Rattus norvegicus: one gene and its partner. The protein of the gene in region 1 interacts with the protein of each later gene in a biochemical or structural test. Links are inferred from orthologs where the notes say so. Each region holds a gene or a part of one and is shown in the gene's direction. Other genes may lie near its edges.

The links.
Region 2: the proteins of Lztr1 (region 1) and Kras form a complex in vitro, tested with the Homo sapiens proteins (2 studies listed by BioGRID, with this or other methods). The link is inferred for Rattus norvegicus from reciprocal best matches to the Homo sapiens genes LZTR1 and KRAS.

The regions. Positions count from the first base shown.
Region 1 is NC_086029.1:97,005,042-97,009,425, reverse strand, and holds the start of Lztr1 (leucine-zipper-like transcriptional regulator 1), read left to right. Parts: upstream 1-1,574; 5' UTR 1,575-1,612; coding exon 1,613-1,803; intron 1,804-2,208; coding exon 2,209-2,271; intron 2,272-4,034; coding exon 4,035-4,091; intron 4,092-4,384. UniProt on the Homo sapiens protein: Substrate-specific adapter of a BCR (BTB-CUL3-RBX1) E3 ubiquitin-protein ligase complex that mediates ubiquitination of Ras (K-Ras/KRAS, N-Ras/NRAS and H-Ras/HRAS).
Region 2 is NC_086022.1:179,943,235-179,947,841, reverse strand, and holds the start of Kras (GTPase KRas), read left to right. Parts: upstream 1-1,671; coding exon 1,672-1,782; intron 1,783-4,607. UniProt on the Homo sapiens protein: Ras proteins bind GDP/GTP and possess intrinsic GTPase activity. Plays an important role in the regulation of cell proliferation.

The DNA.
Region 1 (4,384 bases):
CTCTCTCTCTCTCTCATGTGGTGGACTTAGGCAGGCCTCTGGGACACCAAGGTCAGAGACTAAGTCCCGGGGCAAGTGCCAATCTCCAATATCCCAGGATCCCCCAAGGTGGAATCTGAGTCTTCCAAGGCTTGCCTTCAACTGTCTGCCTCACCTCCAGAGAGGCTACTACTGCCTCCAGAAGATGATCCGTTCCGAAGGCCTCAGCTGTCACTGACAGCTGGTTTTAGAGGCAGGACAGGCTCTGTCTCTGCTTCCTCTGTTAGGACTGTTTTCCCAGCAAGCCCCTTCAACATTACCTTAAAATTAAAACACATATATCAGCAGATCTGTGTCCCAGTATAATTGGGCCAACACTTAACAGCTAGGCATGATGTGACACATCTGTAATAGCAGCACTCAGGCAGAGGTAGGAAGGTCAGAAGTTTCAGGCCATCCTGGACTACATGAAATCTTTTGTTTTTAAAAAGCTTCAGAAGCCAGAGGCAGCTTTTGTATTTGTCCACTTAAGGGAGACAGGAGCTGGGTCCTGCAGACTCCATACTGCCCACAGCAAGCTAAGCTGGTATAATAATAGTGATAATAATAATAATTATTATTAATCACAGCCAGGAGGTGGTGGCACATGCCTTTAATCTCAGCCCCTGGGAGGCAGAGGCAGGCAGATCTCCGAATTCAAGGCCAGCCTGGTCTACAGAGCTAGTTCCAGGACAGCCAGAGCTACACAAAGAAACCCTGTCTGGAAAAAACAAAAATCGAAAATCACTTCATTGTTATAAACTCACAAATATACTCTGTTGGATTACAGTAGTCACCCAAAAACCTATCCAGTCCCACTCTATATATCAACTTTTTTGTAGTCAGGACAGCCATTGGCTTTTATAAGCTCTTTTTTATAAGCTCTTACAAAAAAAGTTAAAACTAGACCAATTAACTAATTAACTTTATATCCATTTCACGACTACATGTGTTCCTTTTGCCTGAACTTCCTGAATCATCATTTCACAGGCGACTCAGCTGGCAATAGACTACAACTTAAAAAAACCACCGATTGTGCTGTAGCCTAGTGGCAGAGTGCATGCCCATCAAGTCCTGGGGTTCAAAGCCCATCGCAGAGAGGACGGAGGGAGAGGGGGACAGAGGGAGGGCGGTTGGGGGACATAAGCAGAAGGTGTTGGACAGTTGAGCCGCTCGCCTGCAAGTCGGAAACCTCATCCTGGAGGAGGGCGGGGTGGGGGGGCTTCCGGGAGATGGCAAAGCCCGACTACAAGGCATGCCGGGAGCGTGTAGCTCGCCGCTGCCTAGAGAATGTTAGTGGCTGACTATAGCCAGACTGCGTTTCCTGAAAGGGGAAACCCAAGCCGAGACTTGGCCAAAAATGCTTTCCAGAATGTGACGTATCGATACATGATAATGCGAGGAGCCTGGCTACCAGGTTCCTCGACAACCCGCCGCGTCGCGGGGAGCGCTAGGTTTGTCGGGAGGGCGGACAAGCTGGCCGGAAGTGCTACACCAGGGGCGCAGGGCCCTCTGGGAAGTGTGGTCCTTTGACTTGGCCCGGGCGGTGGCCGTGAGTCCTGCAACCTGGTGGCCTATTCGGCCTGAACCAGGGATGGCAGGCTCCGGAGGCCCCACTGGGCCCGGGGCCTTGACAGGAGGGGTGAGCTCCAAGGTGGCTCCGAGCGTGGACTTTGACCACAGCTGCTCAGACAGTGTCGAGTACCTGACGCTCAACTTTGGACCCTTCGAAACTGTGCATCGCTGGCGGCGCCTCCCGCCCTGCGACGAATTCGTAGGCGCTCGGTATGCAGTGTACAGGGGATCCTGAAGGCACTGGTAGTAGGGACGAGAGCTGAAGTTTTAGGACGGGCTCTAGGGGAGAGATCCCTTGTGATGTCTTGGAGTATGGATTGGTCATTCCAAGGCTGGGTTCCCAGGGAGTAACACCATAGTGACCCTAGGTAGGGTACCAGACCTGTGTTTCTGAGGATCCTGTTTGGGTCCCTGAGCTGTGAGGTATGAGTGGGAAGTCTCCGGTGTGTCAGGCGTCCTTGCTGTCTGAAGAAACTGAAGGATCTCTATAGATCTTAGCGGTTGGGAGGCTTTATCCAAACTTAGGTGGCAGCAGAGATGTGTAGTCTCATTTCTTGGGTGCCAGCCAGAAGAGTCCTAGTCTCACCACTCTTCACCCCTTTTATCTTTTTCTAGGCGCAGCAAACACACAGTCGTGGCGTATAAGGATGCCATCTATGTGTTTGGCGGAGATAATGGGTAAGTTTGCCTGTTTTGATGGTGGCAGGGGATGATGACAGAGAGACAGACCTGTTGTCTGAGAATGGGAGTTAGTAGCCCTGCCTTGTGAGCCTCTGTTTCCCCATGTGTGTGGTGCTTTGTACCTGATTCCCATGTTATGGTGAGGAAGATCCTACCCTTAAAGCCCTTTCACCCATCACTCAAATGGCAGCACGTGCTCAGTACGTGGGAATAAATGCCCTTGTTTTAGTGAGGAGATATAGCTTTGGAAGAAACACGTGTGCTCTTGTTGCTATCCCTGCCTGTCACTTTTTTCTTTCCTTCCTCTTGGGCCTAGAACCTGGCACTACAGCCTTGGTCCTGTAGATTACATGAGGCGGCTGACCTAGAGGCAGTGAGGTTTCAGGACTCTCTCTATTAGGACATGCAAACTTGGCTCACATCCGCAGTCTCTCTCCAAGAGCAGTTGGGGATTCATGTACAACTGCATGTCAGAGCGTGCTCCTCAGTTCACAGCCCTGTAATGTCCCCATCTTCTCTGTGTAAAGACCAGTCCTAATAGGAGGGGTGGCCTCCTTGTTAGTGCTGTCCTGTCTCTCTGGTGGCCTTGTATTTGGATTGTCCCCAACCCTCGCTACCCAGCCCTTGTACACTTCCGTCTCCCTTCTAATGTCCTCACGGATGAGGCCTTGTGTCCTCTTACCTCTTCCTGTGCCACTTGCCCCTGGTGTTGGCTGTGATCTGTTTTCATACTCAGTTCCCTACATCAGTGTCCAGATGTACCCATTTACGGAGTAAAAGAAAAGGACGAGCCTTAGTAAGAATTCATACACCAAAAAAGACTGGTGTCTAGCATAGGGTAGTGAGGATGTCAGGACCACTGTCCTCAGCTTCTTCTGGAGCTGGTAGACAACTGGTTGGTAATAAGCAGAAATGCTTTCTTTCAGTATGCAGTTTCAAAAGAAAAGGTAGAGAAAGTCAGTTACACATCTGTTTGCCTGTGACTTAGGATAAATCAGGGTGTCCTCCATTAAGAATGGAAAGATGAGTAGCAACTTTGGTATTAGAAGCTAAGAGCAAGGAAACCTGGCAGTGGAGATGGGGCCTGGTCAGTTAACTTAAATCCTTCAGGGTTACATCAGTGGGGGCTTCCTTATCAAACTGACTCAGACAGACTGTAGTCTCCTGGTTTTAGGGGAAACTGTTAGGTTTTGGGGTCAACACCAAAGAGATACCCTGCAAAAGCCTGGCCCTGGAGGGAGTGCCTCAGCTCCTGTTGGTTCTCCTTTCTTCCACATTAACAAGTTGGTAATATGCCCAACTTGCATATTAAATGCAAGCTGGCCCAGTGAGCAGTGGAATTACTTTTGATACAGTTGTTATGTCAGATGGCAGCCGAGGGAAAAGCATGCAGGTCTCCACCATTGTTTGAGACAGAATGTTGTCATTGTAGGGCAGCCTTGGAAGGAAGGGTTCAGTGCAGGATAGGACTTCTCGGGGCTGGGCGAGCTGCGAATGAGGACTCCAGCTCTGGGCCCTTGAGTGGGGTGCTGGTGGTGCGATCAGGCTGGCCTTGTCTGTGTGAGAGCCCTAGTTGCCCCTACCTAGTCACTAACTTTGAGCTGTGGACATTGACAAGTTGTCTGACAGGTCAGTGAGTCAGGTCCTTCTTGCTGCCTCCAATCCTAAGTGGATGCCCTCTCCCATCTTAAAGATCCTGGTGAGGTAACACCTTGCAATATCCTGGCTGCTGCAGCTCTCTCTCTCTGACTGCCTTTCAGGAAGACGATGCTCAATGATCTCCTGCGGTTCGACGTGAAGGATTGCTCCTGGTGCAGGTGGGTGGCCCCTGGGCTTCAGGACTCTGCCTGTCCTGGAGAGCAGCATCACTGGACCAGATTCACTGGCTGATAGAGTCAGCTCATCATGGAGGTCCAGGGAGAAATATAACAGATGAGAGCCTGGGATGGCTTCCCTTCTCATGGCTCTCTGTGAGAATGCATGTCTTAAGTTATCCCAGCTCCTGTGAGCTATAGGCTGTCTGGTCTAGTTGGTGGTAAGTAGTTTCTGACTTGGGAGGGGCCTTCAGTCACCAGAATGTCCTGGGCCAGGAGCTGCTGTGGGATCTCAG
Region 2 (4,607 bases), on another chromosome or scaffold:
ATTAAAGTAGCATTTTTTTACCCATTAGCAATCTGTTTAATTGTGTCTTCATAGGAGATAACTGTATTCTTTCATATCTACATCTCATCTGCATCTGTATTCTCTTTATTGTGATTACAGGGCCTAGAGAACCAATTGTCCTTGTAATAGTAAGAAGGCTAAAAAGCAATTGCTGTAAAAATAGTTCTAACCTCCTTATCCTGTTCCCTACCACACAAAGTTTTAGGGACCCAAAATTGCTCTTGTAAACTAGCCACACTGTTTGTAGGAGGGAGGGGCAAAGGTCACATTTCCTTGTGATTCTTTTCATCTATCCCATTTGCCATGGTCCACATTTGTTATAAAACTTGAAGACACACAGGTAAGTTAGGTTACTAATGGCTCACCGGATGGCTCCTGACAAGCAGCAAGAAAGGATAGGTGGGGCGAAGTAGGGCCGGAGTTGGATGAAGGTGTGATGACAATGGTTTTCTGACCTTGTGGTATTGTTCCTGAGGGCTTCAGGCCCAGGGTGAGGACTACAGGGAGTTGGAAAAACAAACTGCATTTTCCCCTCTTGGTACCAGTGTGAACAGTTCTTGGTCATCAATAAGTAGACTGTATTTTGTGTTTGTTTACGCTATATATACTTACACTGACCTGGAACTACTTACTGTATAATAAGTTGTCACTTTAATGCTATTCTTTTCATCCATGTGTCTCTTTATTTGTAATAATATATGGTATCAAGGGGAAGGAGATAAAGTGAATATATTTATTTCAAAGTTTTGTTTGGAGTAGCAGACTAGAAAGTAACTGTTCTACCTGGGGTTGTTAACTGTATAAATTGCCGGTGCTTAGTGCACCTGGTGGGAGTGCAGCGTATTATAAACAAGGCACAAGTCGCAGGGGTTACTGAGAATCTCTACATTCCTTCACATTTTTCTTCTTGCCAAAAAAGTCTTTAATTCTGAATTGTATTCAATTTTATTTTCTTGTACAGAGGTACTAAGGTAGTTTTTAGTACTCAAAGGATTATGTTTGTTATAATTCATCTGATCTTACACCAAATAGTTAATTCCATTCCCCACAGATAGTTTATAGATTAAAATGTTACCAAATATCTTTATTTGCTTCATTGCCTAAATGTTTCTTTCCCCACAACAATTCAGTTTTAACACCAGCTTCCTATTTGGTTGCCTATCACTGCAGAACTGACGGCTTTAAAACTGTTTTCTGCGACAGTTGGCAAAGATGCTCTTAGGCTCTCTAACTTCTAACTTTTACTGCCCAGCCAACAATGAGTACTGCAAGGGTAGGTGTTGAGCTAGCTGTCAACAAGCTCCTGCGGGTGTGGCCACAGGGTATAGAGTATGGTGCAGGGTCCTTGTACTGAGTGAAGCCATGATACATTCCTTTGAGAGCCATTCGCTGCTACAAGAGTAGTCTGGCTGTTCAGATCAAACAAGCTAATGATAGAAGATGAAAGGACTGGTCTATTAAGTGTTGATGAGGGAGTTGTCAGTCATATAAGGGTTACTCTGTACAACTGCAGTCACTGAATTCAGAATGCCTTAGAGTTTTACAGACAAAGGTGAGTGTTAACATACTGATAAAGTACTTGATAATCTTGTGTGGAACATGTTCTAATTTAGTTATATTTTATTATTTTTATTATAAGGCCTGCTGAAAATGACTGAGTATAAACTTGTGGTAGTTGGAGCTGGTGGCGTAGGCAAGAGTGCCTTGACGATACAGCTAATTCAGAATCACTTTGTGGATGAATATGATCCTACGATAGAGGTAAATGCTGCTTTATATTCTATGTACAATTTGTAAAGGGTGGCAGTCATCCTTTGTTTGAAAAAGATATCTCTTATTTTTATGTTTGTTAGAAAATTATATATGATGTCCTTAAGTTCCAAGGCTTTAAACTGAGTAATAGGGAACCATCGGTGCAAGGAACCCCACTTCTTTTGAGAACATGTCACAGAGAATAAGGTCCAAGATGCCAACTGTGTCTTGTATTTGCATTTTGATAAATATAATTTTATGATTTTGTGAAAGTTAAGAATAAAGCTTTGCATTTGATCTGCTCTTGGAAGGTTTGTTATTGTTGTTTTATGGGTTTGTTTGTTATTGTGTTGTTGTTGCTGTTGTTTGGTGTCTTTTAGACAGGGTCTTACTATGTAGTGCTGGCTGTCTAGAACTCACTAATGTAGACTGGACTAGCTCTGAACTCACAGAGATCCATCTACCTGCCTCTGCTGCCCAAATGCTAAGATTGAACATGTGTGCCACCGTGTACCTTCAAAGTTATTTTTTGAAAATATTTTATTGTTCTGGATTTCTTGGAATGTTGATGTGGTGATAAAATTTGATCATATTAGAAAAATAGAATCACTTGATGGTTAAGTTTTTTTAAGCTTAATATGGTTTGATGAGTAAGATCTTTAAATTATTGTCAGACTTTTTTCATTTCATAGAATCTTAACTAACTAAAGGCCAACTGTTGAATAATAGAATTAAAACCTGAAAGAGAGCTTGAAAAATCAGGTAGTATATCCTGTTGCTGTCAATAGATTCAAGTTTTCCAGACCAAAGAAGACTTTAGTTAATCTCCAAGACTAGCAGGAAGGGCTGTTCTTCAACAGTGCTTGTTAATTCCTGTACTACATGTGTAATATCCCAATCTTCTTAGATAGGTTCTAATGCACCCCAAGATGGGTCTTCCTTCAGGTAGCTGAGACCTAGCATGCAGTCCTGATCATCTAGCTATCTAGCTTCCACCCCTGAGTGACAGGGCTGCATTATAGGCCTGTGTGCCTCCATGCTCATTCTAGGCTGTGCTGGGGGGGTTGAACCCAAGTCCTTTGGCCTGCTAGGCAATCCTATACTCACTAAGCTATATCCTTACTTCATGTACTAATTTAAAAAGAAGAAAAAAAACGACTTCTGAAGAATTTTGTAGTGCTTCGGAATCTATGGCTATGAAATCTCAAGTAAGTCACAGGGCCCGGATGAGTCTCTGTTACTTCTTGAAGCATTAGAACATTGAAGGTTGATTAAATAGTTGTTAGGAAGTGTCAAGTAATTTTTTAGTAGTAGTATACCGCTCTCTAAAAAGGTTGTTCTTCAACATAAAAATGACTCTTGTTTGCTTTCCAAGTTAAAAGAGTTACCTCAGTGAAGCAGAGCTCCTGTGTACTAACTATTCTTCATACATTTACTTTGACAGGTCAGTTGAGTTGCTGTATGTAGTTCTCCTTTTTTCTTTGAGGAAGATCAAAAAGCTTACCCATTTTGACTGGTATTCTAAATACAAAGTTACTTGATATATTCAACCATTTAAATCAAATGTAAAAGGAAGTTTTAATAGAATGCATGTGAAATGGGGAAATTTTCCTGGAATTTGGAAGATGCTTTCAGCAGAAGTAACCTCCATTTTCCTTGAAAATGTGTTCCATTGTGCTGTCTCCTGTTACGTCAAAAAGCATTGTGAATATATACAGCATGAGATCAGAACTGTAGGAGCCTGGTAAAATAGAACTTAAGAAGCCGTTAGCTCACATTTGCTAAAATGTAATATACAGCTAACAATCTATTGTGTATAAGGAAGGCAGGAAAAAAGGCTATACATTTAAATTTCTTACCCTGGTTGTGGTTCCTACCACCCAGAAGACTTGACTCTGAGGAGCACTGATAACATGTGAACTTTGAACCTGACATTCCCCAAGATAGGTTAGCAGCTGGAGAAAAGTCTATACCTTATCTCATAATCTGTGGCAAGTTTGAGGAAACTGACATGGTCCTTTCTTGGTGTGGTTCACCTATAAGAAGGGCAAAGAGTGAAAGAGATTTGATTGATCAAAACGCCACCTTCCTACGAGTACAAAAAGTTTCAATTGATGAAAAATGTCAGAGAGAAAATGACAGAGAGCATGGAAGCTGAGTCTGGGGACAGATGCTACTCCATACTCTGAGGCAGAAGGATTTCCAGTTCAAGACCTGCCTGGGTTACAGAGCAGGTGCAAGGACAGCCTGCACAACTTAGTGAGGCCCTTGTCTTACAGCGGAAAATGAAGGAGGGCTAGGATGTAGTCGCTGGTGAAATGCTTGCCTTTGGGATTCCATTCGTTTCTTTACATTAAGAAGTGGCAGGGAGCTTTACACAAATTTAAATGGTGATGCCATCACTTTTTTTAGTGATTTACAATTTGTAAAGTATGATCCTAGGAGGTGAAAGAGGGCAGTCTTTGCTTCTTTGATTTTTATCTATAAACTTGTGAGGTGTTCTAACTTGTGTAAAGTATTTAGCTAGTTAGTGGAAAGACTGAATTTAGACACTGTGAGACAAGTAAATTCCCACTGTGGTAAGTGAGAAAGTAGCTGTCTTTCTGACTAGGGAAGTATTCAATAACCTTCTGGACTGTGCATCAGCTACTACGACTCGAATTTACTAAGAAAACTGCCACAGAACATGCTAATATTGGAGATAGTACATGTGCAAGTCACCTGGACTTCTGAAATTTTTTATCTTTTATGAAATGCACTAATTTTTCAATTAACTTCTTAGTGGGACATGGTTATTACAATCTCTTATGAAGTCCTCACACAACTCAACTAGA